Linked DNA regions of Saccharomyces cerevisiae S288C. The gene in region 1 interacts genetically with each later gene. Each region holds a gene or a part of one and is shown in the gene's direction. Other genes may lie near its edges. The genes, in order: PMA1, CCC2, DGA1 and SXM1.

What was found.
Region 2: mutations in PMA1 (region 1) and CCC2 together harm fitness more than expected from each alone (negative genetic interaction), as found in Saccharomyces cerevisiae (2 studies listed by BioGRID).
Region 3: mutations in PMA1 (region 1) and DGA1 together harm fitness more than expected from each alone (negative genetic interaction), as found in Saccharomyces cerevisiae (2 studies listed by BioGRID).
Region 4: mutations in PMA1 (region 1) and SXM1 together harm fitness more than expected from each alone (negative genetic interaction), as found in Saccharomyces cerevisiae (2 studies listed by BioGRID).

The regions. Positions count from the first base shown.
Region 1 is NC_001139.9:479,410-487,865, reverse strand, and holds PMA1 (H(+)-exporting P2-type ATPase PMA1), read left to right. Parts: upstream 1-5,199; coding exon 5,200-7,956; downstream 7,957-8,456. Other genes in the region: calcium-transporting ATPase PMC1, read right to left, coding at 1-1,945; YGL006W-A (uncharacterized protein), read right to left, coding at 2,333-2,443; BRP1 (Brp1p), read right to left, coding at 4,229-4,606; YGL007C-A (uncharacterized protein), read left to right, coding at 4,839-4,925. UniProt on the Saccharomyces cerevisiae protein: The plasma membrane ATPase of plants and fungi is a hydrogen ion pump. The proton gradient it generates drives the active transport of nutrients by H(+)-symport. The resulting external acidification and/or internal alkinization may mediate growth responses.
Region 2 is NC_001136.10:1,000,876-1,009,398, forward strand, and holds CCC2 (Cu(2+)-transporting P-type ATPase CCC2), read left to right. Parts: upstream 1-4,799; coding exon 4,800-7,814; downstream 7,815-8,523. Other genes in the region: E3 ubiquitin-protein ligase HEL2, read right to left, coding at 1-1,148; iron-sulfur cluster assembly protein CIA1, read right to left, coding at 1,635-2,627; tryptophan--tRNA ligase MSW1, read left to right, coding at 3,129-4,268; hydroxyacylglutathione hydrolase GLO2, read left to right, coding at 8,135-8,523. UniProt on the Saccharomyces cerevisiae protein: Copper-transporting P-type ATPase necessary for the proper uptake of iron. Required for export of copper from cytosol into extracytosolic compartment.
Region 3 is NC_001147.6:793,576-798,333, reverse strand, and holds DGA1 (diacylglycerol O-acyltransferase), read left to right. Parts: upstream 1-3,001; coding exon 3,002-4,258; downstream 4,259-4,758. Other genes in the region: SRL1 (Srl1p), read right to left, coding at 26-658; ENV9 (Env9p), read left to right, coding at 1,541-2,533; NuA4 histone acetyltransferase complex catalytic subunit ESA1, read right to left, coding at 4,466-4,758. UniProt on the Saccharomyces cerevisiae protein: Catalyzes the terminal and only committed step in triacylglycerol (TAG) synthesis by using diacylglycerol (DAG) and fatty acyl-CoA as substrates. Required for storage lipid synthesis.
Region 4 is NC_001136.10:1,261,584-1,269,944, forward strand, and holds SXM1 (Sxm1p), read left to right. Parts: upstream 1-1,740; coding exon 1,741-4,575; downstream 4,576-8,361. Other genes in the region: proteasome regulatory particle base subunit RPT3, read left to right, coding at 98-1,384; negative cofactor 2 transcription regulator complex subunit NCB2, read right to left, coding at 4,783-5,186, 5,279-5,315; UTP5 (Utp5p), read left to right, coding at 5,888-7,819.

The DNA.
Region 1 (8,456 bases):
CAATTTCTGCTGCACCTTTAATGAAAAACCTGTAAAATGGTTTTTTATTTTTGCCTTCTTTGTACTTTACCACTAAGCCGGCCCATTTACGAGAACTTTCAAACGGAATTGTTTGAACAACTTTTTCGATATTAAACTTTTCCATCGGTTGATCTCTCAAATATTGCAATTCTCCCGGTTGTAATCCTAATGATAATCTTGCCAAACTGAGTAAGGCTGTTTCCGTTTTAGAGCCAATAAAGGGTTCTTGCCTACCCTTGTTGACATTTTTGAATAATTGATCCTCGTCATCTTCCCTGTTGCCTTTTTTAAAAAACGATAATCTAGATTTACACTTATCTAAAAAACTCAAATTTTTTGACATATTTTTACTACCATTTGTATTTTTATCGTTTTTCTTATAATCTCTGTTTTCGAAGGCGGTAGAATTCAGGACAATATTGGCTAATAAATCATTTCTCAAGGATGACGAACAATTTTCTTCAAAAACTTTCTTAGAATTCAGCTTCCTTTGTTCGCTAACGGGCAACGATTTACTATCATCAAATTTAGAATTGCCCGGGAAGCCACGAACGACAGTCATGACATTTTCTGTCAAAGTGCCAGTCTTATCAGAGCACACTGCAGTAGCAGATCCCATCGTTTCACAGCTTCTTAAAACCCGTACTAAATTACCGTCTTTTGTCATTCTTGTTGTTGCAAACGCTAAGGCCAAAGTTACAGCTAATGGTAAACCTTCCGGAACAGCCACCACAATAACCGTGATAGATGTGATAAAAATGTTCATAAATTTAGAACCCTTTTGAGCGGGATCTAGATCATGGAACCTGCCATCCTCAGGTATTATGTAAAATAAGTACCTAGTGAAAAGGACCAAGAAAAGAATTATAGCAGACACGCAACCGTAAACGGATATATTATCAGCCAATTGGCTCAAATGTAACTGTAATGGAGTACTTTCAGGTTCGGCATTTAATGAAGTCATGGTTTGACCGTAAACTGAGTTTATACCCACGGACGTGATGACACCCCTGCCCAAGCCAGAGAGAATTCTGGAACCTGAAATCAACATACAATCAGCAATCTTGTTACCGTCTTCGTTAACGTCACCTATATCTAATGGTTTGCTATGGTTATGACTATCGATAGAATTAAATTTTTTGAAATCTCTTAATGAGTTATCCACCGGAAATTTCTGTATTGTGTTAGATTCACCAGTGATGGATGATTCATCTGCCTCACACTTCCCTGATATCATAACACAATCAGCGGGGACAACATCACCGGTTTGTAATGAAATGACATCACCGACTAAAACGTGGTGAATGGAAATTAATATTTCCTGATCATTTCTTATGACTATAATTTTACGGTTTTCCTTCTTTTTATTTAGCTTTGCAAATTGCAACTCCTTCTGGTAATCGTTAGCGGCACTCACTAGAACTACCACAAAGACCGCAATCATGATAGCAACCCCTTCAATCCAGTCAACTTGCTTAATTTTATTTCCTTCAGGATCATACTGTGGAGGTTGCATCCATAGTTCGTATAGACCTAAAACAAAGGAAACAACAGCGGCGACTGTCAGTAATTGCATTGTTTTGTCATTAAAAGCAGCCCATACTAATTGTAAAAAAGACTTTGGTATTCTTTCAGGAAGTGAATTATCGCCATAATTTTTATACCGGTTTGTCTTTCGATAATTTGATATTTCTGGAAGAGAAATGCCTGCATTTTTATCTGTTTTCAAGTATTTGAAGAGGCTGTTAGACTCATATCCAAATAATCTGACAAATGATCTTATTGATTTAGGGTTATGAAGATCCGAAAGTTGACTTTTTGATAATTTGAAATTATCGTAGACTCCGTTCTCATTTCCCGTATACGATGGTTTGTTATTTTCATTATTCGCTAGTAAAGCAGAATTTTCGTCTTGTCTAGACATTATTTTTTTTGTTACGCACACAGTTTTTTTTTTTTTAGAACCACTTTTCTAAACTTTATTTGTTCAAGTTTTATTTCTTTAATTCAATGTCGTATATATGTGATACAATTCTCTTAATACACTTAGTTTTTACTGGAGGCGCATGAGTTTTTTGACGTTTTCTTAAGCCTTTCTATTGAATGAAAATTACCAGAAAAGCCCCTTCTTCCTCAAATTTATGAAAAAATGTTTATTCTTAACCTAAGCCTTCTCAATTGAATCGTGCCAACCTGACTAAAATGTAGTTTGGGGAAGTGAAAAAATCTGAAGAGATTATTTAATTTTTCGTTAAGCCTGCAATTTATTTTGGTAATAATTGCTAGAAAGAAATCGAATATTTAACGCAATTCAAATAAAGCCTTTCCTTGGGGGGGGGCTGATACTATTTGAATGTTTTTGGAAGGCGCCCATTAAATGCAATGCCAAGTGGCGATGATAATGAATTATGAAGATTAGCATTTGTTTAAAAAGCGTGGAGGGCGCTTCTAGGGCCTGAGCCTCCTAATTTTCTTTTCCCCCTGACAAATGATGGAGAAGCTTCTTTGCCGGGTAAAAACCCTTTTTTTTTATCTTTTCTGCGGGCGGATAAAGCTGTTAGTGCCACATGTTTCTATACAAACTGTATTAAAGTAAAAAAATTAATAGACAATTTAGGCCCCTCAAATGGGTAAAATAGAACATATATCAGTATGCACAGCTCACTATTTTAAAAGCGGCAGGCTTGGAGCTGTAGGACCACACTACTGCGACAAAAAAAGATAAAGTTGTGTTTTATTTATGTTTTGCCGTAAGATCGATACTTTTCTTATTCTCATCAAGAAAACACAAACTGCCAAGAACTAAGAAAAGAAGAGCCGTAAACAATGCTTGTAAACCGAAGTATGAAAAGAAAAACTTGATAATTAAATCATCCCCTTTGGCTCAAATATTTATTTTGTATTATTCATGCTTGATTAGTTTAAGAGTGAACTTTACTATCTTAATTTTATTTTAGCCTTTTCAGCTTATGGCACAATAGTGAAAACAAGATCATGTTAAGTTCTGTACCAGAAGAGAGAACCGATAAATAGTTTAATAAGCAGATCAATGCCAAGAATAAGATAAAACAACTATGGAGACTGATGTAAATATACTTGAAGCCGGGCAATAATATAAGCACCGTGAGCCGATTCTCCTCGATCCTACACTGCACCATATAACGAATGGTCTTGGACTATGGAAGGCAGTAACCAACAACAGAAAAGAGAGATTAATTAGAAAAAGACATTTCTCGAGAGAAAAAAAGTAAAGACCTTATCGTACAACTGTTACTGACATTTTTATTTTAAGAAGCTAAACCCTTATTATTAGCGCGCCCAAGTAGGCGCAAAACTAGAGAAGTCGCAGATGCATCCACCCACTTTTTGCCTTATTTTTCCTTAATTTCAGAAATATAGTTAAAATGAAAAACAAGGACAAGAAAAGAACGGGAAAAAGAAAAGGGGGATTAGCAAACAAAGAAAAGTCCAATAAAATGATTACAGACAGCATTGGATGCGATGAGATGGCAACCAGCGAGATGAGAGCATAGGATTTTCATCCTAGCTGCTTTAGGGAAGACGCACAAAACTTTGTTATGTTTGTAGTAAATATAGAAAAGAAAACAAAAAAGTGCTCGGACGAATCCGGTAGAGCTGTGTCTAGCCTCAATAAGTTTGCCGCATTTGGTAAATCAAAACTGTTTTTCTCTCCGTCATTTGTTTTGAAGCTTGTTCTGTTAGTTTAGGGAAATAGAAAAAAAAAAAAAGGGAAAAAGAAAGAAATCATATGCCCAATGGAGTACGAGAATTGGGGAAAAAGCCTCCATCGGGTTTTTAAACGGGCGTATACATGCTTACCACACTCCCGTAAGCAAGAACAAAGAATTTATCTTGATAAACTGCGTAATAAGTCAATCAATTGCTCTATATACGCGCATATACGTAAAACACAGAATCACATTTTAGTCAGGCCCAAGCCGTATAGGGCGAAAAAGCCCGCGCTTATCAAGTCATCGTAACGAATCAGATCTTTCCAACTGCTATCGCATACGTAAGAGAATTGAAATATTTCTCGGGTACGATACGACATTTTTTCTTTACATTTCTTTACTAAACCCGACGGCACGGGAAAGAAGATGAGACTCGGAACGGAAGCTAGAAGAAAAAGGAAGGACACAGAGATTTTCCGAGATTAACTCAGCTTTGCTAAAGTGCAAAAAGTCGTTTACGTCACCATCGCTGACGGGGAAAAAACAAAACAAGCTTCCTGAAACGGAGAAACATAAACAGGCATTGCTGGGATCACCCATACATCACTCTGTTTTGCCTGACCTTTTCCGGTAATTTGAAAACAAACCCGGTCTCGAAGCGGAGATCCGGCGATAATTACCGCAGAAATAAACCCATACACGAGACGTAGAACCAGCCGCACATGGCCGGAGAAACTCCTGCGAGAATTTCGTAAACTCGCGCGCATTGCATCTGTATTTCCTAATGCGGCACTTCCAGGCCTCGAGACCTCTGACATGCTTTTGACAGGAATAGACATTTTCAGAATGTTATCCATATGCCTTTCGGGTTTTTTTCCTTCCTTTTCCATCATGAAAAATCTCTCGAGACCGTTTATCCATTGCTTTTTTGTTGTCTTTTTCCCTCGTTCACAGAAAGTCTGAAGAAGCTATAGTAGAACTATGAGCTTTTTTTGTTTCTGTTTTCCTTTTTTTTTTTTTTACCTCTGTGGAAATTGTTACTCTCACACTCTTTAGTTCGTTTGTTTGTTTTGTTTATTCCAATTATGACCGGTGACGAAACGTGGTCGATGGTGGGTACCGCTTATGCTCCCCTCCATTAGTTTCGATTATATAAAAAGGCCAAATATTGTATTATTTTCAAATGTCCTATCATTATCGTCTAACATCTAATTTCTCTTAAATTTTTTCTCTTTCTTTCCTATAACACCAATAGTGAAAATCTTTTTTTCTTCTATATCTACAAAAACTTTTTTTTTCTATCAACCTCGTTGATAAATTTTTTCTTTAACAATCGTTAATAATTAATTAATTGGAAAATAACCATTTTTTCTCTCTTTTATACACACATTCAAAAGAAAGAAAAAAAATATACCCCAGCTAGTTAAAGAAAATCATTGAAAAGAATAAGAAGATAAGAAAGATTTAATTATCAAACAATATCAATATGACTGATACATCATCCTCTTCATCATCCTCTTCAGCATCTTCTGTTTCAGCTCATCAGCCAACTCAAGAAAAGCCTGCTAAGACTTACGATGACGCTGCATCTGAATCTTCTGACGATGACGATATCGATGCTTTAATCGAAGAACTACAATCTAATCACGGTGTCGACGACGAAGACAGTGATAACGATGGTCCAGTTGCCGCCGGTGAAGCTAGACCAGTTCCAGAAGAATATTTACAAACTGACCCATCTTACGGTTTAACTTCCGATGAAGTTTTGAAAAGAAGAAAGAAGTACGGTTTGAATCAAATGGCTGACGAAAAAGAATCTTTAGTCGTTAAGTTCGTTATGTTTTTCGTCGGTCCAATTCAATTCGTTATGGAAGCCGCTGCTATTTTGGCTGCCGGTTTGTCCGATTGGGTCGATTTCGGTGTTATCTGTGGTTTGTTAATGTTAAACGCTGGTGTTGGTTTCGTTCAAGAATTCCAAGCTGGTTCTATTGTCGATGAATTGAAAAAGACTTTGGCTAACACTGCTGTTGTTATCAGAGACGGTCAATTGGTTGAAATTCCAGCCAACGAAGTCGTCCCAGGTGATATTTTGCAATTGGAAGATGGTACTGTTATCCCAACTGATGGTCGTATTGTCACTGAAGACTGTTTCTTGCAAATCGATCAATCTGCTATTACTGGTGAATCTTTGGCTGTCGACAAACATTACGGTGACCAAACTTTCTCTTCTTCCACTGTTAAGAGAGGTGAAGGTTTCATGGTTGTTACCGCTACCGGTGACAACACTTTCGTTGGTAGAGCTGCTGCTTTGGTTAACAAAGCCGCTGGTGGTCAAGGTCATTTCACTGAAGTTTTGAACGGTATTGGTATTATCTTATTGGTTTTGGTCATTGCCACTTTGTTGTTGGTCTGGACTGCTTGTTTCTACAGAACCAACGGTATTGTTAGAATCTTGAGATACACTCTAGGTATTACTATTATTGGTGTCCCAGTCGGTTTGCCAGCTGTCGTTACCACCACTATGGCCGTCGGTGCTGCTTACTTGGCTAAGAAACAAGCCATTGTTCAAAAGTTGTCTGCTATTGAATCCTTGGCTGGTGTCGAAATCTTGTGTTCCGACAAAACCGGTACTTTGACCAAGAACAAGTTGTCCTTGCACGAACCATACACTGTTGAAGGTGTTTCTCCAGACGACTTGATGTTGACTGCTTGTTTGGCTGCTTCCAGAAAGAAGAAGGGTTTGGATGCTATTGATAAGGCTTTCTTGAAGTCTTTGAAGCAATATCCAAAGGCTAAGGACGCTTTGACCAAGTACAAGGTTTTGGAATTCCATCCATTTGACCCTGTCTCCAAGAAGGTTACTGCCGTTGTCGAATCTCCAGAAGGTGAAAGAATTGTTTGTGTTAAGGGTGCTCCATTATTCGTCTTGAAGACTGTCGAAGAAGATCACCCAATCCCAGAAGATGTCCATGAAAACTACGAAAACAAGGTTGCTGAATTGGCTTCTAGAGGGTTCCGTGCTTTAGGTGTTGCTAGAAAGAGAGGTGAAGGTCACTGGGAAATCTTGGGTGTTATGCCATGTATGGATCCACCAAGAGACGATACTGCTCAAACTGTTAGCGAAGCTAGACACTTGGGTCTAAGAGTTAAGATGTTAACTGGTGATGCTGTTGGTATTGCTAAGGAAACTTGTAGACAATTGGGTTTGGGTACCAACATTTACAACGCTGAAAGATTAGGTCTAGGTGGCGGTGGTGACATGCCAGGTTCTGAATTAGCTGATTTTGTTGAAAATGCCGATGGTTTCGCTGAAGTTTTCCCACAACATAAATACAGAGTTGTTGAAATCTTGCAAAACAGAGGTTACTTGGTTGCTATGACTGGTGATGGTGTTAACGATGCTCCATCTTTGAAGAAGGCTGATACTGGTATTGCTGTCGAAGGTGCTACTGATGCTGCCAGATCTGCTGCTGATATTGTTTTCTTGGCTCCTGGTCTATCTGCTATTATTGATGCTTTGAAGACCTCCAGACAAATTTTTCACAGAATGTACTCTTACGTTGTTTACCGTATTGCTTTGTCTCTACATTTGGAAATCTTCTTGGGTCTATGGATTGCTATTTTGGATAACTCTTTGGACATTGATTTGATTGTTTTCATCGCTATTTTCGCTGATGTTGCTACTTTGGCTATTGCTTACGATAATGCTCCTTACTCTCCAAAGCCCGTTAAATGGAACCTACCAAGATTATGGGGTATGTCTATTATTTTGGGCATAGTTTTAGCTATAGGTTCTTGGATTACCTTGACTACTATGTTCTTACCAAAGGGTGGTATTATCCAAAACTTCGGTGCTATGAACGGTATTATGTTCTTGCAAATTTCCTTGACTGAAAACTGGTTGATTTTCATTACCAGAGCTGCTGGTCCATTCTGGTCTTCTATCCCATCCTGGCAATTGGCTGGTGCCGTCTTCGCTGTCGACATCATCGCTACCATGTTTACCTTATTCGGTTGGTGGTCTGAAAACTGGACTGATATTGTTACTGTCGTCCGTGTCTGGATCTGGTCTATCGGTATCTTCTGTGTTTTGGGTGGTTTCTACTACGAAATGTCCACTTCTGAAGCCTTTGACAGATTGATGAACGGTAAGCCAATGAAGGAAAAGAAGTCTACCAGAAGTGTCGAAGACTTCATGGCTGCTATGCAAAGAGTCTCTACTCAACACGAAAAGGAAACCTAATCCTGTTGAAGTAGCATTTAATCATAATTTTTGTCACATTTTAATCAACTTGATTTTTCTGGTTTAATTTTTCTAATTTTAATTTTAATTTTTTTATCAATGGGAACTGATACACTAAAAAGAATTAGGAGCCAACAAGAATAAGCCGCTTATTTCCTACTAGAGTTTGCTTAAAATTTCATCTCGAATTGTCATTCTAATATTTTATCCACACACACACCTTAAAATTTTTAGATTAAATGGCATCAACTCTTAGCTTCACACACACACACACACCGAAGCTGGTTGTTTTATTTGATTTGATATAATTGGTTTCTCTGGATGGTACTTTTTCTTTCTTGGTTATTTCCTATTTTAAAATATGAAACGCACACAAGTCATAATTATTCTAATAGAGCACAATTCACAACACGCACATTTCAACTTTAATATTTTTTTAGAAACACTTTATTTAGTCTAATTCTTAATTTTTAATATATATAATGCACACACACTAATTT
Region 2 (8,523 bases), on another chromosome or scaffold:
TTGGAATTTTCCAGATAGTATTTTGCTCTTTCTGCCAATCTTAGTCTACTTTCCTCGGGAGAACTAGCAGATCTCACATCAGTTCTAGAGCCGGATGATGAACCCGGTAGGGAAGATATAGATGGAAGGTCGTAATCATCTCTTTCCCTGATCACTCTAGATGGAGCCGAGATAAAAGTAGAAAGTTCTGACTGGAAAAACTTTGGCTTTCCCTTCAGGATATTACCATGCTCCTGCAAAATGTGGGCTTGTAACTCCAACTCGTCTTTAAATACGACAAACTTGTTATCTAAGCAAGTTTGGACGGTGCAAACGTAATGCGAATGTTTAAAGTGGTCAAAAAGCTGATTATAATCCTTAAAGTATTGAGGAGAAGCGGGGTTCATCTTATCACAAATATGGCACTTTTCATGCTGATTTCTCATGTGAATGTACAATTCGTCGTCTGAATAAAATCGTTTTCCGGAACAGAAGGCACACATAGGGTGGCCTTTGAATCCTTCTGAATTACCCTTAGTTTGATGGTTGCGTAATTGATTTTGGGTGAATATTTCAAGCTCACAAGGGAATGCATGCTTATGGGTTGCACATATTAAACAGATCATTCTGTTATGTTCAGATTTCAAGTGTTCATTATATTTCTTGAAACTACCAAAGTCACAAACTTGTTCATCCTTCGATAGGGGACAAAAAAATTTTAAAAGATTTAGTGTTTCGGTAGCAACCTCTTCGCTAGTGAAATTTATTCCATATTTTTCATTTTTTTCGCAAAAGTTATATTTATCTGAAATATCACCATCTATGCGATCGGTAAACATGACTTCTTCATTCTCCGTTCTGCAAATCAAACAGCTTTTCTTGTTGTACAAAGCTCGTTGTCTGAAACCACAGATATGGCATGTCTTATGATGGCATGGTGTTAGAGATACGTATGTTAACTTGCGCGCACAAATTACACATAATTCATTTTCTTCATCAGTATCATCTGCGCTTGAAGTGGTGAGGTTGGGTTCAGCAGAAAGGTTATTTTTCTTTTGCTTTCTTCTGAAATTCTTCCTGTCGTTGTGAGGTTTTGTATTATTTTGGGGCCCTTGAGTACGACGGAAGTTACGTGTCGGAGTAACGTTTTCTTTCACTGATTCGCTCATCCTAATTCTTGAAAAGAAGTATAGCCACTATTTTTTCGACGAAAGAGACTGTATCAAAATGCACTTTATGGATCTTTTTCAGCTAGGTATGCGCTCGACGATTTGTTGAATATGGCTGAGTGGGCAGTCGTTCAGATGCCCTTTTCAAAATCTTAAGAGAAAATCAGAAAATATAGCTATTATTAAGAGTGACCGCGAGTATGAAACTTTCAGTGTAACCTTTCTTTATTCGAGATAATGCTTAATTACAAGTCTTCCGAATATCTAATTTTTTTTTTTTTCATTTTTAAATTTCAGTTTTTACCGCATGCTTTTAATGCAGGGATATGTATAACGAGGTCACTCCGTCACACATGACAGAATTGCGTTATAGTGATACAAAGGTTTATGTAACTAGGTAGAAAAATCGTCATTAAGTTTATTTTTAGAATTCAGATCGATCACTGTGTTAATATGAGTTCCTGAATTGTACTCTTGCTTCTACATCTACGCTGCTTTTTCTAGAGACCAGAAATTTACGATCCCGTCGTCACCGCCTGTTGCAAGTATAGTTTTACCATTTAACTCCAACCACTTCACAACGTTGATTTCATAAACTCCATGACATAATGCACGTTTAGCAAAAACTTTCCATTCTCCGTCTACTTCTTCATAGACCGCTAGTACTCCATCCGCTCCTACACTAGCAATGAGGCCATTAAAGCCCCATGCAACATTGTATACCTGTCTTTTGTGTACATCCGGGAGAATAGCTTCACAAACCCATTCTTGTTGATCATCCTCGTCGTCACCCATGTATTTCCATACCCGTACAGTGGAATCGTCGCTTCCACTGCACAGTCTAAACACGCCCTCAGTCTTGTCAAAATCAGAAGACCAAACAGTTCCTTCATGGCCATTTAAGACAGCAACACATTCCCAGTCATCGTCATAGTCTTTCCATATCCTGACGGTGTCATCATAAGAACTTGAAGCCAGTAATGCTTCAGATGGATGCCATATAACATGTTTAACGTCTTGTGAATGTTCTTGCAAAACACTAATACACTCATATTCCTCGCCACTTTCATCTGTTTCCCATATCCACACGCTTTTATCTCTGGAACAGGTTGCTAGGTAATATCCATCATTCGACCACGCTACACCTTTTACTTCATTTTCGTGACCTTCGATAATAGCTAGCAGGTCCATCTCGAAAGTTCTGTCAGCAGATTCTTCCTTAGCCCAGATAGATACAGTGGAATCAAAAGAGCCAGCCGCTAACAGCGAAGTGTGAGGTCTCCACGCCACAGATCGAATCGCCTTTTTATGAGCAGTCTCATCTAGCACATCAATTAACGTAAAATCGTCATATTTCACGCTAACTAGCTTAATTTTTCGATCAGTTGAACCTGTTGCTAATATACCTTGAGAAAAGTCAAAAGACCATATCTTTTCCTTGTAAAGTTTCAAAGACTTAATCAGATTGATAGACGCCATTACCAAATAAGTAAACCAATTGAACTATTAAAATGTCGTGGTATAGCCCGATTTTGATTTGTGATATCTACAAATCTAGTATTTATTCGCAATTAATGAGGCAAAGACGATACAATATTCGATGTGAGATTTTTCAAAACACGGCCCGCTGAGAGCAGAAAGTTTTAGATGACCTATTTGAAGGCAATCACGATGGTATTTTTCAAGAAAATAAATAGTAGTAACACTGCTATGCACATCAGAGTCAGATTCCTTAAATTCAAACGTTTCTACAATTAGTATGACCTTTTCTTGAAGATCTTTTTCTCCTTATAAAGGCAACACAAAACAAGATAGAAGTGCAAAGGTATTTTTTGTTTTTCACGTGATAAAATCGGCTTCGAGAAAGTAGAAAAGGGTATTATGATTTATTACAGGCTACCTGCACCATCTCAAAGGTTTTACGTTACTAAGGAGTGAATCAGGTTTTGATAAATATTTACACTATCTTTTACAAGGAAGATGTCGAATAAGCAGGCGGTTCTGAAGTTAATCAGTAAAAGGTGGATAAGCACAGTGCAACGTGCCGATTTTAAGCTGAATTCCGAAGCGCTTCATAGTAATGCTACGGTATTTAGTATGATTCAGCCAACTGGGTGTTTCCACCTTGGTAATTATCTAGGTGCTACACGTGTTTGGACAGACTTATGTGAATTAAAACAACCTGGCCAGGAATTGATATTTGGAGTTGCTGATTTACACGCTATCACTGTTCCAAAGCCAGATGGAGAAATGTTTAGAAAATTTCGCCATGAGGCAGTAGCAAGTATACTGGCTGTCGGTGTAGATCCAGAAAAGGCTTCGGTGATCTACCAATCCGCCATCCCTCAACACAGTGAATTACACTGGTTGCTTTCTACTCTTGCCTCGATGGGATTACTTAACCGCATGACGCAATGGAAATCAAAATCGAATATCAAACAATCAACTAATGGGGATTATCTGGTTAACGATTCTGACGTGGGAAAAGTTAGACTGGGCTTATTTTCGTATCCTGTTTTACAGGCAGCGGATATTCTACTTTATAAATCTACACACGTTCCTGTTGGCGATGATCAATCGCAGCATTTGGAACTAACAAGACACCTTGCTGAAAAGTTTAACAAAATGTACAAGAAAAATTTTTTTCCTAAACCTGTAACTATGTTGGCACAAACGAAAAAAGTTTTGAGCTTAAGCACGCCTGAAAAGAAAATGTCCAAGAGTGATCCGAATCACGACTCTGTAATTTTTTTGAATGATGAGCCTAAGGCAATTCAGAAAAAGATTAGAAAAGCTTTAACAGATTCCATTTCTGATAGGTTCTACTACGACCCTGTAGAAAGACCAGGCGTATCGAATTTAATTAACATTGTCAGTGGCATTCAAAGAAAATCGATTGAAGATGTCGTAGAAGATGTATCTCGTTTCAATAACTATAGGGATTTCAAAGATTATGTTTCAGAAGTGATAATTGAGGAATTGAAAGGCCCAAGAACAGAATTTGAGAAATATATCAACGAACCGACCTATTTGCATAGTGTCGTTGAATCTGGCATGCGCAAAGCGAGAGAAAAAGCAGCAAAAAACCTGGCCGACATTCATAAAATAATGGGCTTCTGACTGTCCCCGGCTTTAGGCTGCTGCAAACGCAATGTAAATAATAATACAGTTTAACTTGTACGTATCTTTGTTATTTCAGAATATGCAAGATTCCTCACTCGGCAGATCTCATCAATAAACGTTAGTATCTTGAAAAATACGCAGATGTTGGTACAGTCTCTTGCAGAGGGCCAGCACCGTTAGAATGTTGTGTTGCCACCGTCTGGCTCGAAAACAGGTCGATCTGTGTAAGTATTGTCCTGGGTGCAGTTATTTGTAGTAGCGATTTTCGCGGGCAGTGGAAAAGAACGGGTGCAGTGCGGCGATGAGTGCAATTAGCTGCCGAAGGGTTTGCACCGGTGATTCCGAGACCTTTTGCACACACTTGTATATATTTAGGGAAGTCACGGTAACTAATGGATTTCTTCTCAAATTTGAGACATATGGATTAGACTTTAATTCTGCCTGGTACTAAGCTACTTTTCAAAGGTATTTGAGATATTTCGTAAATTTTGCGGCCAAGGAGTTGAGGTGTTTAATACTTAAAACGAAATGAGAGAAGTGATACTTGCTGTACATGGAATGACATGCAGCGCCTGTACTAATACAATCAATACGCAGTTACGAGCTTTAAAGGGTGTAACAAAATGTGATATTAGTTTAGTGACTAATGAGTGCCAGGTGACATACGATAACGAGGTTACCGCCGATTCTATTAAGGAAATTATAGAGGATTGTGGATTTGACTGTGAGATACTAAGAGATTCTGAAATTACAGCCATAAGTACGAAGGAAGGACTACTGAGTGTACAAGGTATGACCTGTGGGTCTTGTGTTTCTACAGTCACCAAACAAGTGGAAGGCATTGAGGGTGTTGAATCGGTAGTCGTTTCCTTGGTAACGGAAGAGTGCCATGTTATTTATGAACCGTCCAAGACAACGCTAGAAACCGCCAGAGAAATGATTGAAGACTGTGGATTTGACTCAAATATTATTATGGATGGCAACGGGAATGCAGACATGACCGAAAAAACGGTGATCTTGAAAGTAACTAAGGCTTTCGAGGACGAATCCCCACTCATACTTTCTTCAGTAAGCGAAAGGTTTCAATTTTTGTTAGACCTAGGTGTAAAATCGATAGAAATTTCTGATGATATGCACACACTCACCATAAAATACTGTTGTAACGAACTCGGCATTAGAGATTTATTGAGGCACCTTGAGAGGACCGGATATAAATTCACTGTATTTTCCAATTTAGATAATACTACCCAGTTAAGGCTTCTCTCTAAAGAGGACGAGATAAGATTCTGGAAAAAAAACAGCATAAAATCCACCCTTTTGGCTATAATATGTATGCTATTGTATATGATTGTCCCTATGATGTGGCCAACAATTGTTCAGGACCGCATATTCCCTTACAAAGAAACCTCCTTTGTTAGAGGTCTGTTCTACAGAGATATTTTGGGTGTAATATTGGCAAGCTATATTCAGTTCAGCGTTGGTTTTTACTTTTACAAGGCAGCATGGGCATCTTTAAAGCACGGTTCAGGAACCATGGATACACTAGTTTGTGTTTCCACTACTTGTGCATACACATTTTCTGTGTTTTCTTTAGTTCACAATATGTTCCATCCCTCAAGTACTGGCAAACTCCCAAGGATCGTTTTCGACACATCAATCATGATCATTTCATATATTTCCATCGGGAAATATTTGGAAACTTTAGCTAAATCACAAACATCAACCGCACTTTCTAAATTAATTCAGCTCACTCCATCGGTGTGTTCAATTATATCTGACGTGGAGCGGAATGAAACCAAGGAAATTCCCATAGAATTATTGCAAGTGAACGATATAGTGGAGATTAAACCAGGGATGAAAATTCCTGCTGATGGCATCATAACAAGAGGTGAATCTGAAATTGACGAGTCGTTAATGACAGGCGAATCCATTTTGGTGCCCAAGAAAACTGGTTTTCCGGTTATTGCTGGTTCTGTTAATGGACCTGGACATTTCTACTTCAGAACTACTACCGTTGGGGAGGAAACTAAATTAGCAAATATTATCAAGGTAATGAAAGAAGCACAATTGAGTAAAGCTCCCATTCAGGGGTATGCAGATTATTTAGCCTCTATTTTTGTTCCGGGGATCCTAATTTTGGCAGTATTGACTTTCTTTATTTGGTGTTTTATTTTAAACATCTCGGCTAATCCTCCCGTCGCTTTCACCGCAAATACTAAGGCTGATAATTTTTTTATTTGCTTACAAACTGCTACTTCTGTTGTCATCGTCGCATGCCCATGTGCATTGGGACTTGCCACGCCGACTGCTATAATGGTGGGTACAGGGGTTGGAGCTCAGAATGGTGTCTTAATAAAGGGCGGAGAAGTATTGGAAAAATTCAATAGTATTACTACTTTTGTTTTTGATAAAACAGGTACCTTAACTACAGGTTTTATGGTTGTGAAAAAGTTCCTTAAAGATTCAAATTGGGTTGGAAACGTGGATGAAGACGAAGTTCTCGCCTGTATAAAAGCAACGGAATCCATTAGTGACCATCCAGTTTCGAAAGCAATTATACGTTATTGTGATGGTTTGAACTGTAATAAGGCTTTAAATGCCGTTGTTTTAGAAAGCGAATACGTGCTTGGAAAGGGAATAGTCTCAAAGTGTCAAGTTAATGGAAATACTTATGATATTTGTATTGGGAACGAGGCGCTGATTTTGGAGGATGCATTAAAAAAATCCGGATTTATTAACAGTAATGTCGACCAAGGAAACACTGTATCATACGTATCAGTAAACGGGCATGTGTTTGGCTTGTTCGAGATTAATGATGAAGTTAAACATGATTCTTACGCAACAGTTCAGTATCTACAAAGAAATGGATATGAAACGTATATGATTACTGGCGATAATAACTCAGCAGCAAAAAGAGTCGCTAGAGAAGTAGGTATAAGCTTCGAAAATGTTTACAGCGATGTGTCACCCACAGGCAAATGTGATCTCGTGAAAAAAATTCAAGATAAAGAAGGTAATAACAAGGTTGCTGTTGTTGGCGATGGCATTAACGACGCTCCCGCTTTAGCACTGAGTGATCTAGGTATTGCCATTTCAACAGGTACGGAGATTGCTATTGAAGCAGCTGATATTGTTATACTGTGCGGTAATGATCTGAATACTAATAGTTTGAGAGGACTGGCCAACGCCATCGATATTTCACTAAAAACGTTCAAAAGAATAAAGCTGAATTTGTTCTGGGCACTTTGCTATAATATATTCATGATTCCGATTGCTATGGGTGTGCTCATTCCTTGGGGCATAACTCTTCCTCCAATGCTCGCCGGTTTAGCGATGGCATTCAGCTCGGTCAGTGTCGTTCTAAGTTCATTGATGTTGAAGAAGTGGACTCCACCGGATATTGAATCACATGGGATTTCAGATTTCAAGTCCAAATTTTCGATTGGGAATTTTTGGTCAAGGCTTTTTTCTACGCGGGCTATTGCAGGTGAGCAAGACATAGAATCACAGGCCGGACTAATGTCAAACGAAGAAGTCTTGTAAATAACAGGTAAGTCTAATTTATTTAAAAAAATCCACGAGCATATAGATTTATAACAATAATAATAATTAATATTCATCAATTTTTTAGTAAATTCATATATTTTACTCCTACTCTATGTATTTTCAGTAAGTCTACTAGTCGTATTACCCGTCGGTTTCAAGGGATATTATGGAGGTAATAAGGATTTTTTTACCGATTTAAAAACCCATTATATCCCTCTTAGAAAAATTTTAGTATTCTTAGATAAGTTGCTAGATTTACCAATATCAAAGGGAAGACTGCAGGACAACACAAAAACACAAGAAAAGGAGGACAAAAAATGCAGGTTAAATCGATTAAAATGAGATGGGAGTCTGGTGGTGTTAATTACTGCTATCTATTGTCCGACAGTAAAAATAAAAAATCGTGGCTAATCGATCCAGCAGAGCCTCCTGAGGTTCTGCCAGAGTTGACTGAGGATGAGAAAATAAGTGTTGAAGCAATTGTTAATACACATCACCATTATGACCATGCAGATGGTAACGCTGATATCTTGAAGTATTTAAAAGAGAAAAATCCAACTTCAAAAGTTGAGGTTATAGGAGGGTCAAAGGACTGCCCAAAGGTTACGATAATTCCGGAGAATTTGAAAAAGTTACACCTAGGTGACTTAGAGATTACTTGTATTAGGACGCCCTGCCATACCAGAGACTCTATCTGTTATTATGT
Region 3 (4,758 bases), on another chromosome or scaffold:
AAAAGGACACGTTTGAACTCATAATTCACCAACTGGTCGAATTAGTAATCGAAGTGGTGTTGTACCATTGTACGTTACCTGGAGAGGTAGTGGTAACAGAAGGTGCACCGGTGACAGTAACGTATTGTGTAGTCGTATTTGGGGTGACTGTAACGTACTGGGTAACGGGCTCATTGGTGACAGTGACAAACTTTGTGATTGGGACGCAACCATTGGAAGTTGAAGCCTGTTCAAAGGACTTGACCTTTGCATCTTTGTTGTTTGAATCTTCGTCACTGACACTTGCTGCAGTAGATGATGGAGACAAAGTAGTGGAGTCATGAAGGGTTAGCAGCAAAGTGGACGTGATAGTCGAGGTGGAGGTAATTTCATGGGTGGATTCTGGGGTTACAGATCCAGAGGCCGAAGAGGTGGACAAGGAGGAGGAGGCCGCATTGGTAATGGTGGCTGAAGTTGAGGTGAACCAGCTCGTGGAGTAGACCGTTGAGGTGACAAAAAAGGTAGTGGTGTCGTCGGCGTACGATATGGTAGTCTCTTGGGGCACCAAGGAGTAGCTGGGCGCTAAAGTGGTAGTTGTAGAAACAGTATTGTTTGAATAAATCGCTGACACAGAACTTGCGAAGGTTAAAAGAGCGAAAAAGACAACGGATTGAAGCATTTTTTTATTTTTGGTTGATAAAGAACGACTAAGGTGAGAGTGAAAGTGATGTGATTTTTAATTATGTAGTGTAATTGAAACAATAAAAAAAAAACAAGGGAATGGACGAGACCTATTAATGGGTACTATGGCTCAAATAGCAAAAAAAATTTGTAAAATGGGTAAAAAAATGAGAGAAATACGCGAGAAACCTCTTGGTTGGATGTTGTGCTAAACTAGTTGCTTAAACGCTTGCAAAACTTTTTTATAGATAAAATATGCCAAGTGAAAAGAAAAGGAAGCAGAAGAGAAAAACTTAGAAAGGTAGAGGTAAGAAAGAATAAACCAAAATGTAAGCTAGGTGAGGGAAATATTTTGGAGCTTAAATATCTCGAACGACACTCACTCTCGTCAGAAAAATCTGTCGAGTAACTCAGACCACCTCCGATAGCATACCTTGTTTAGTTTCATAATCGGCAGAGACGTCATTCCTGCACAGAACGCCAAAATTCGTGGCCCCCGCGGTACCTGAATCAGGGCCAAGAATTTTGGCGTTTCGTGTTGTTGACATATTCCGAAAAAGGTATTGAGCCACAGGTCTTTCGCGTCTTCTAAGCCCCAAGATAAAGAAAATGCCGCCCTGCTTAATCACTGTTTTTTTTTGGAAAACCCTGAAGTATAGAAGTAGGGCATTGAAAGAAAAGATATGCGGGTAAGATATGAAAAAATTGAGGAAATGAGACCCAAGTGTACATGGGTATATATAAACAAATCATTATGGTGCATGATGCATCACTTACAATGCACACACACTATTGTCTTTGTAGAAACGGGGAAGACAATGGTTGTAGGCCTGATTGGTATTAGAGGCATCCGCAGTACGAGACATACGCCAAAGGCAGAATGTTAGACCCACGAATATTGCCATACTACGACCCGGCTGTGGAGAGGAAGATTGCTGTAGTAACAGGCGGAAATACGGGTATTGGGTGGTATACTGTCTTGCATTTGTATTTGCATGGGTTTGTCGTTTATATTTGTGGGAGAAACTCTCACAAGATTTCGAAAGCAATCCAGGAGATACTGGCAGAAGCAAAGAAGAGGTGCCATGAAGATGACGACGGTTCAAGCCCAGGCGCGGGCCCAGGTCCAAGCATTCAGCGTCTAGGGTCACTGCACTATATCCATTTGGATTTGACAGACTTAAAATGTGTGGAGAGAGCGGCACTTAAAATTCTCAAGCTGGAAGACCACATAGACGTGCTTGTTAACAATGCAGGGATTATGGCGGTGCCCTTAGAAATGACGAAGGACGGATTTGAAGTGCAATTGCAGACTAACTACATTTCGCACTTCATCTTCACGATGAGATTATTGCCTTTACTGCGCCATTGTCGTGGCAGGATCATTTCCCTGTCCTCGATAGGCCATCATCTAGAGTTCATGTACTGGAAACTGAGCAAGACGTGGGATTACAAACCTAATATGCTTTTCACATGGTTTAGGTACGCGATGAGTAAAACCGCGCTAATCCAATGCACGAAGATGTTGGCCATCAAATACCCTGACGTTCTTTGTCTCTCCGTTCATCCGGGTCTGGTGATGAACACAAACTTATTCAGTTATTGGACAAGGTTACCCATCGTCGGTATTTTCTTTTGGCTGTTGTTCCAGGTCGTAGGGTTCTTTTTCGGCGTATCGAACGAACAAGGTTCACTAGCTTCTTTGAAGTGTGCATTGGACCCGAATTTATCTGTCGAAAAAGATAACGGGAAGTACTTCACCACGGGGGGTAAAGAATCTAAATCGAGCTACGTTTCTAACAATGTCGACGAAGCGGCATCGACTTGGATCTGGACCGTTCATCAACTAAGAGACCGTGGTTTCGATATATAACAAGACGGAAAGATTGAAAGAGTAGATAGATGTACATTTTATTTAAATATTAGTTAGTCGTTATTGTAACTGGTAATCAGAGCAAGAAGTTTTTCTGTACTTTGTTCTCTGCAGGCAACTAAGTTACGGGCCGACAAAGGCTTATGATGTGCGTTTTTTATTCAATTGATAGATTCAGTCAGCATTGACGTAATGGGAAGGCTAGAAAAAGAGAAGACTGAATTTGGAAACTTATTCCTCAAAGCAGACCAGTACTTCCACCGCATTTCTGTACTTAACCAAGCACGACAGTGGTCTATCAGGCTTGGATCTTTCACTACACTTCCGCCAAAGTTTTTTTTTTTTCCTGTTTATCCCAGATCACGTTTGTTCCATTAAGGAGGTTTACTATCATCTCATTTCCATTTACACATACACTTACATATACATAAGGAAACGCAGAGGCATACAGTTTGAACAGTCACATAAATGTCAGGAACATTCAATGATATAAGAAGAAGGAAGAAGGAAGAAGGAAGCCCTACAGCCGGTATTACCGAAAGGCATGAGAATAAGTCTTTGTCAAGCATCGATAAAAGAGAACAGACTCTCAAACCACAACTAGAGTCATGCTGTCCATTGGCGACCCCTTTTGAAAGAAGGTTACAAACTCTGGCTGTAGCATGGCACACTTCTTCATTTGTACTCTTCTCCATATTTACGTTATTTGCAATCTCGACACCAGCACTGTGGGTTCTTGCTATTCCATATATGATTTATTTTTTTTTCGATAGGTCTCCTGCAACTGGCGAAGTGGTAAATCGATACTCTCTTCGATTTCGTTCATTGCCCATTTGGAAGTGGTATTGTGATTATTTCCCTATAAGTTTGATTAAAACTGTCAATTTAAAACCAACTTTTACGCTTTCAAAAAATAAGAGAGTTAACGAAAAAAATTACAAGATTAGATTGTGGCCAACTAAGTATTCCATTAATCTCAAAAGCAACTCTACTATTGACTATCGCAACCAGGAATGTACAGGGCCAACGTACTTATTTGGTTACCATCCACACGGCATAGGAGCACTTGGTGCGTTTGGAGCGTTTGCAACAGAAGGTTGTAACTATTCCAAGATTTTCCCAGGTATTCCTATTTCTCTGATGACACTGGTCACACAATTTCATATCCCATTGTATAGAGACTACTTATTGGCGTTAGGTATTTCTTCAGTATCTCGGAAAAACGCTTTAAGGACTCTAAGCAAAAATCAGTCGATCTGCATTGTTGTTGGTGGCGCTAGGGAATCTTTATTAAGTTCAACAAATGGTACACAACTGATTTTAAACAAAAGAAAGGGTTTTATTAAACTGGCCATTCAAACGGGGAATATTAACCTAGTGCCTGTGTTTGCATTTGGAGAGGTGGACTGTTATAATGTTCTGAGCACAAAAAAAGATTCAGTCCTGGGTAAAATGCAACTATGGTTCAAAGAAAACTTTGGTTTTACCATTCCCATTTTCTACGCAAGAGGATTATTCAATTACGATTTCGGTTTGTTGCCATTTAGAGCGCCTATCAATGTTGTTGTTGGAAGGCCTATATACGTTGAAAAGAAAATAACAAATCCGCCAGATGATGTTGTTAATCATTTCCATGATTTGTATATTGCGGAGTTGAAAAGACTATATTACGAAAATAGAGAAAAATATGGGGTACCGGATGCAGAATTGAAGATAGTTGGGTAATAATGAATTCATTGGAAAACACAAAATATGTTAGAATAAATAAGGATTTTTTAGTGTTTGGGCTGTATATCTTAAGTAAGAGTATTAACTTACAGGAATACTGGAGTTCTCGTTGAATATTAGTGATTGTTTTACGTAAATTTCATTTATTTAAAGCTTTTACATTAGAAGTTGTTTGAATGTAAGTTTAGGAAAGCACTACATAGCTTACCAGGCAAAGCGTAACTGAGAGGCAGTAAATACCGGTGGTTTCCATATGAGTCTATTAGGGTCTATTGTCCTTCTCTTTTTGGCTTTAAGTCGATTGTACCTATCTAAAATATCTTCATTCAGGAAAATAATATGCTGACCCTTGTAATATCGCAGGATATTCAGTGTCTTTGCTGTGTGTAATATATCTGTAGTGGTCATCGAAGTCATGGAGCTTATTTCGTCTATAGTAATTTCCTTCTGGTGTTCCACTAATAGCGTTATGAGAGTGTCCGACCAATAGGCTCTAT
Region 4 (8,361 bases), on another chromosome or scaffold:
GGACAAACCAATTCTGCCTATTTCCTTTCACTCATAAGTTATACAAGAGGCAATCGGATAAAATTCAAGTATTTATAAAGTAAAAACCACAACAAGAATGGAGGAACTAGGTATTGTGACACCTGTCGAAAAGGCAGTCGAAGAAAAACCAGCCGTCAAATCATACGCATCATTGTTGGCTCAACTCAATGGTACAGTCAACAATAACAGTGCCCTGTCTAATGTGAATTCTGATATATATTTCAAATTGAAGAAATTAGAAAAAGAGTATGAACTGCTGACTTTGCAAGAAGACTATATTAAGGACGAACAACGCCATTTGAAACGTGAATTGAAGAGAGCTCAAGAAGAAGTAAAGAGAATCCAGTCGGTTCCATTAGTTATCGGGCAATTCTTAGAACCTATTGATCAGAACACAGGTATTGTTTCTAGTACCACAGGTATGAGTTATGTCGTTAGAATATTATCAACCCTAGACCGTGAACTATTAAAGCCATCTATGTCTGTAGCTTTACATCGTCATTCAAATGCTTTAGTTGACATCCTACCACCTGATTCCGACTCTAGCATATCCGTAATGGGCGAAAACGAAAAACCTGACGTCACTTATGCAGATGTTGGTGGGTTAGATATGCAAAAGCAAGAAATCAGGGAAGCCGTAGAGCTGCCATTAGTTCAGGCTGATCTATACGAGCAAATCGGTATTGACCCTCCTAGGGGTGTTCTATTATATGGTCCACCAGGTACCGGTAAGACGATGCTTGTTAAAGCCGTCGCCAATAGTACAAAAGCTGCATTCATAAGAGTTAATGGCTCCGAATTTGTTCACAAATATCTTGGTGAAGGTCCAAGAATGGTTCGTGACGTCTTTAGACTCGCCAGGGAAAATGCTCCATCCATTATATTCATAGATGAGGTAGATTCCATTGCCACAAAGCGTTTTGATGCTCAAACGGGTTCCGATCGTGAAGTACAGCGTATCCTGATTGAGTTGTTGACACAAATGGATGGTTTCGATCAATCCACCAACGTTAAAGTCATCATGGCTACAAACAGGGCAGACACATTGGACCCAGCTTTGCTGAGACCAGGCAGATTAGATAGAAAGATTGAGTTTCCCTCACTTCGTGATAGGCGTGAACGTCGTTTGATTTTCGGTACCATTGCCAGTAAGATGTCCCTTGCCCCAGAAGCGGACTTAGACTCGCTTATTATTCGTAACGACTCTCTATCAGGTGCTGTTATTGCAGCGATCATGCAGGAAGCTGGTTTAAGAGCAGTGAGGAAAAACAGATATGTCATCTTACAAAGCGATCTGGAAGAAGCTTACGCCACTCAAGTCAAGACAGATAATACCGTCGATAAATTCGACTTCTACAAATGATTACCATATATGCTTCAACGTAGGTCTACATAAAGTATTACGTACATTTCTATCTAGACAACACTAAATGAAATAAATACAGACGCCACTTTTTTATCACGTTTCTTAGCGTTATTCCGCGCGCAACCGGACGTCGCTAGCCAAGTTTTTCACTTTTTTTTTTCTGTGATATTTTTTTTTCCAAATGAGATGGTAAGATGAGTACCTATCAACAAGTATCTCAATCAATAAAGTACAACCAAAATATCAAGTACGCAGTCTCTGCTTCATCCCAGTGTAGATTTGCTATTCGATTTGTGTCATAAACATTTAACATTGCGCCCGTCTACAACAAAGGAGATAAATCAAAAAAGGAAATGGTACAAGAACAGGCAATTTTGAGCTGCATTGAGCAGACTATGGTTGCTGATGCAAAAATTATCAAAGAGGCAGAACAGCAGTTATTTGAGTTCCAGAAGCAACCTGGGTTTACTTCTTTTCTGCTTAATATAGTGTCTGATGATAATTTTGCGCTAAATGTTCGTCTTTCTTCTGCTATTTATTTGAAGAATAAGATTCACAGATCATGGGATACTAAGAGAGAAGATGGTATAAAAGCTGACGAAAAGCTTTCGATCAAGGAAAGGTTAATCGAGACTTTAGTTAAAAACTGTGAAAATAACCACATTAGGCCTATCCTGACTGAAACCATAAATGGGATACTTGTTGGTCAGGAAGATTGGGATTTAGCACCTATTATCAAGAATTTATTATCGAGCGGTGACGCATCGTACATTTATCCCGGGTTACTACTACTGTTCCAACTTTGTAAAGCTCATAGGTGGGACATGGTTGGGTCGAGAGATTATATTGATTCTGTTATCGAAGAACTTTTCCCTATTGTGGAAGGGATAGCTTCTAATATCGGTAGTCAAACGGATTACAGATCTAATGAAATATTGTACCTCATTTTGAAGTCATTCAAGTATGCATGTTTGAACAACTTGCCTCAATACTTCAGCCAACCTGAAAGAATTATGTCATGGGTGCAACTACATTTGTATTTATGTTCCAAACCATTACCAGTCGAAGTAATGGAACTGGATCCCGCAGATAGGTCCCTAGACAAAAGGGTTAAAGTGAACAAATGGGGGTTCGGTAACTTAAACAGATTCCTGCAAAGATACAACAAAATTACAAAGGCCATCACCAAGGAATTTATCGACTATATCTTCAATACTATTGTTCCTATAATTCTTCGAGAATTTTTTAAGGATATTGAAGCTTGGGGTAATAATTCACTATGGTTATCCGATTCCTCTTTGTATTTCTTAATTTCATTCCTAGAGAAATGTGTTACAATAGATCAACTTTATCCTTTAATTGAGCCACATTTACAAATTATTTTTGAGAACGTCATCTTCCCATGTTTGTGTGCTAATGAACAATCCATCGAATTATTAGAAGATGACCAAGAGGAATATACCAGGCGTTATTTTGACATTAACAGAGAAGGCTCTACGCCAGATGCTGCTTCAGCAGATTTCATATTCTTGATTGGGTCCAAACGTCCTGAGAAACTGAACAATATTTTACCGTTCATTAATGATATTTTTACTAGATTCGATGCCAATTCCAGTGATATTAACATGGCATTTAAAGAAGAGGGTGCTTTGAGAACATTGTCTAACTTGTTTTCGTTTATAGATGAGCCATCCGTTCTGGAGAATATTTTTGGACACTTCATCGTGCCATTGTTATCGCAGGATAAGTACATGTTTTTGGTTGCAAGAAGTTTGGAAACGATAGCGCTGTATTCGGAAGAATTTAAAGATATGAACATATTGTCACAATTATTTGAGTTAACATATACCAACTTCTTAAACAGTAACGTTTTACCAGTCCAAATTGAGGCCGCAGATGCCATTAAATGTTTAATTGTATCCAATCCTCAAATCCACCCAGCGGTCTCTGCTCATGTTCCAGGTATGATGGAAAAGCTATTGAAATTGTCTAAAATCTTTGAAATCGATATCTTATCTGAAGTCATGGAAGCATTGGTGGAGAGATTTTCAGATGAACTATCCCCATTTGCTAAAGATTTAGCTTCAAACCTAGTCGAACAATTTTTACGTATTGCTCAAGCATTGGTAGAAAATCCATCGGAAACCTACAGCGCAAGTGACCAAGAGCAGGAAATCCAGGCCAGTGGATTGTTACAAACAATGACTACTATGGTCATGTCAATGAATAAAGTTCCATTAATCGAGTCCTTAGCTCCCGTGGTCAAGTTTGTTGTACTTCATGCACAAATTTCTTTTATTACGGAAGCTGTCGACTTACTGGATGCTTTAACTATTTCTTCGCATCTGCTTTATAACCAAATTGCACCACCAATATGGGAGTTGTTACATGATATATTGGATTCTTTCCAAACTTATGCCATGGACTATTTTGAGGCCTACAGTATTTTTTTTGAAACCATCGTGATGACCGGCTTCCCACAAGATCAAACTTATGTTCAACCTCTGCTAGAAATTCTCTCTGCTAAACTGGAAAGTGAAGTTGACTACGACATCGAGCATGTTATGCAAATTCTAATGTACTTCGCACTGTCCATGAGAGACATTCCATTATTCAGCAAAGCCATCAAAGTATCCACTAATGATGAGCTAGGATTGGACTCTAAATGCATCGTTAAACTGGGACTGGCCAATTTGTTTGCTAAACCAATCGAAACTTTACAAATAATGGAAAATGAAGGTTTTACTATAAATTTCTTTACCAATTGGTTTAATGAAAAGTTCTACAGTGTCTTCGCCATCAAATTACAAGTCCTGGTCATTTTAACCCTTTTGAAGATGCCTGAAGTTCCTAATAGTGTCAGCCCACTACTAAATAACCTGACCAATAAACTGGTGGAATTGACATTATCATTGCCAAAGGCAATTAGAAACCGTGATGCTGTTACCGAGGGCAAATCCTTAGAAGGAGACCTGACCCCAGAAGAAGAAGAAGAATACTTTATCGAATGTGATGATGATATGAAGGAGACAGTGTTAGACCAAATTAATGTTTTCCAGGAAGTACATACCTTTTTCAAGAATTTGCAAAACGAAGATGCCGGTAAGTACGAAAAAATCATAAATTATCTGGATGAATCTAAGAGAGATTCCTTGCAGGTAATTCTGGAATTTGTTTCTCAACACTGAGGAGAACACAAAAAAAATAGTGGAATGTGATAGTTTGAAATAAGGATATTAGTTTATACTCTAATATACAAATATAAAAGTTGTTTCTTTTTCGTTCTTTTTTTTTTTTGGACTTGTCTTCGTTTTTATTACATACATGCATGCGCTTAACATATTCCCATGTGGTTTATTTTCGTATATAGCATTACTTTGTTTAGAAGCTTCTATTCAAGAAGAATCCTCCGACTTAACCGGATCAGATACACTATTGTGGTGTAATCTGGACCTTGACTGTCTAAACAACTCCTCTTGTTGTCGTAGCAGCTCTTCTTCCGAGAGACCTGACTTCTTGAACTTGGAATCCCTAGTTTCTTTCACCTTCTGGGAACCCTTAAAATTCAATAATATTTCCTCTAAGAATGGTATAAACTCATTATACTCCAACTCTTCTAGCGCTTTGATCACGTGCTCGGGCGCTATGGTTTTCTTAGCCTCGTTGTCCGCCATTTCGGAAGCCATCGAGGACAGGATCATTATGAATTCTATGCCGGAGTTGATGATGATTTCTCTTGCATCCTTGGTAAACATCAAATCCTGGTCCAGTATTTCAGATATCATCTTTTGTACGGTCGCTAAGATCATTCAGTGTTTTCTCTAAGTTAGTATAACCGCTCAGTACCCGCATCAAAGCTTGAGTTTTGCAACAACAATATAACTAACATACCCTTGGGAAGCGACACATTATCGGAGTCTCCAGCCATCAATTAATTAATAGGTACAACTGTATTAGTAAATATCGTTATGATTTCTTGCCCACCTTATACTGGTAACTCTGCACGATAGAAATCGACAAGGCGAGCAGAGGGCGAAAAGCGCGACCAAAAACCGCTTCCATTTATATAGGAGGGAGAGTGCAGCGGGCTGGGCGTTTTAAAGTGGTGCAAGAGTTAATTGCACATACTGGAATACGCCAAAGATAAGAGCCCGAGCTGATTAAACCAGATCGTAATTTTTGCGGCGACTATTCGCATGAACAGGCTATGCTGCATAGTGGTGGCATTTCTTTACAATAGTTTTGGTTGAACGTGTTGTACAGTTCCCCTTATTCTTTGATTGTCATTTAACACGGGGATGAGCTTCTTGACAAAAAAATTTTATCCAATTTTTTTTCATTTCTTTTTCTAATCTTTCGCAGCTGAAGCGATGAGGTGAAAAAATTAACAAGTATTGGATAGGATATATGTATGTAAAGATAGATGCAGAGCATATATAGTTTAAACTTGGCTTAGCAAGAGGGTAAAAGACACATTTGCCTTATAATTGTTCATTACCGATGGATTCTCCTGTTCTACAGTCCGCTTATGACCCATCAGGTCAGTATTTGTGTTATGTCACTGTAGCTTTGGACAAGCAACGCGTTGGTGTACAGCCCACTCAAAGGGCCACTTCCTCCGGAGTTGATACAGTGTGGAATGAGAATTTTCTGTATTTAGAGGACTCGAAATTGAAGGTGACGTGCTTAAAATGGGTAAACCTGGCTTCTTCCGACACAGTGGCTATTATATTGGGTATGAATAACGGTGAAATTTGGCTATATTCCGTATTGGCCAACGAAGTCACCTATAAATTCACTACGGGGAATTCTTACGAAATCAAAGACATAGACTTGATGGGTAATCAACTGTGGTGTATCGACTCCAGCGACGCATTCTATCAGTTCGATCTGTTACAATTCAAACTGTTACAACATTTTAGAATAAACAACTGCGTTCAATTGAATAAACTAACCATTGTTCCAGCAGGCGATTCTGTTGCACAACTTTTGGTTGCATCCCATTCCATTTCTTTAATAGACATCGAAGAGAAAAAAGTCGTAATGACATTTCCCGGTCATGTATCTCCAGTGTCCACATTGCAAGTTATAACTAATGAATTTTTCATATCAGGCGCAGAGGGTGATAGATTCTTGAACGTATATGATATTCATTCCGGTATGACCAAATGCGTCCTTGTGGCTGAATCAGATATCAAGGAGTTATCTCATTCAGGCCAAGCCGATTCTATCGCAGTCACTACCGAGGATGGTAGCTTGGAAATTTTTGTTGATCCATTGGTATCGAGTTCAACAAAGAAAAGAGGCAACAAGTCCAAAAAATCCAGCAAAAAGATTCAAATCGTCAGTAAAGACGGCAGGAAAGTTCCAATTTATAACGCATTTATTAATAAAGACCTTTTGAACGTATCGTGGTTACAAAATGCTACTATGCCTTACTTCAAGAACTTGCAGTGGAGAGAAATCCCTAATGAATATACCGTCGAAATTTCCCTAAATTGGAATAATAAAAATAAGTCCGCCGATCGCGATCTACACGGTAAAGATCTTGCCTCAGCCACCAACTACGTGGAAGGTAATGCAAGAGTCACCTCTGGAGATAACTTCAAGCATGTTGATGACGCTATAAAGAGCTGGGAAAGAGAATTGACTTCTTTGGAACAAGAACAGGCCAAGCCCCCACAGGCCAATGAACTATTAACAGAAACATTTGGTGATAAGCTAGAATCAAGCACCGTCGCAAGGATTAGTGGGAAAAAAACAAATTTAAAAGGTTCCAATCTCAAGACTGCTACGACAACCGGGACGGTAACAGTAATTCTGTCGCAAGCACTACAATCAAATGATCATTCACTGTTGGAAACAGTGCTCAATAATCGTGACGAGAGGGTCATTAGGGATACTATCTTCCGTCTGAAACCAGCACTGGCTGTCATTCTCTTAGAAAGGTTGGCAGAGAGGATTGCAAGACAAACCCACCGTCAAGGCCCATTGAATGTTTGGGTAAAATGGTGTTTAATCATACACGGTGGCTATTTGGTTTCTATTCCAAATTTGATGTCTACTCTATCGTCGTTACATTCCACCTTGAAAAGGCGTTCCGACTTATTACCAAGGCTACTAGCACTGGATGCAAGGTTAGACTGTACTATAAATAAATTCAAAACTTTGAACTATGAAGCAGGCGACATCCACTCATCCGAACCAGTTGTCGAAGAGGACGAAGACGACGTTGAATATAACGAAGAACTCGATGATGCCGGCCTTATAGAGGACGGTGAAGAATCTTATGGCAGTGAAGAAGAAGAAGAAGGTGATAGTGACAACGAAGAGGAACAGAAGCATACCTCATCTAAGCAAGATGGCCGTTTAGAAACGGAGCAGAGCGACGGCGAGGAGGAAGCCGGATATAGTGACGTTGAGATGGAATAGAGGATATCATGCATAAAATGCTTTCACGCATCAGAATACAAAAATAATCTCTAGGCACATAAATACTTATATAGAGTTCACCACATAATGTAAGAAAAGAAAAAAGAAAAAAAAAGATCACGAAAGTATCCCACGCGAAGAAGATCTGTCAAAAGACCCCCACAATCGTTTATCCTTTTTGAACTGCATCTGGCATCGTTAACAGTAAGGCCATCTGGAACATCAAGCAAGCACTCCACTTTTACGTCACAACCATAGTTGGTTAACTAAGAAAAGACAGTACATATTTCCCTTCCGAGTCACTTATTTTTTTTTTCTTCTGAAAAAATTAATTAGATTAATTTCAATTAATATCATTTCCGCTTATCTGACTTCTTTCATTTTTTTTCTCTATATTTCGCGTTTACTAGGAAAGAAAAGGAAAAAAAATTTTTCCCCCTCCATCTGTCCCAAATCGGGTAGCGATGAGCTGCTATAGAATTTTCTATTTAAACATGTTTGATAAGCCCAATTTCCGTTAGATTTTGTTCCCCCTTCGCAGT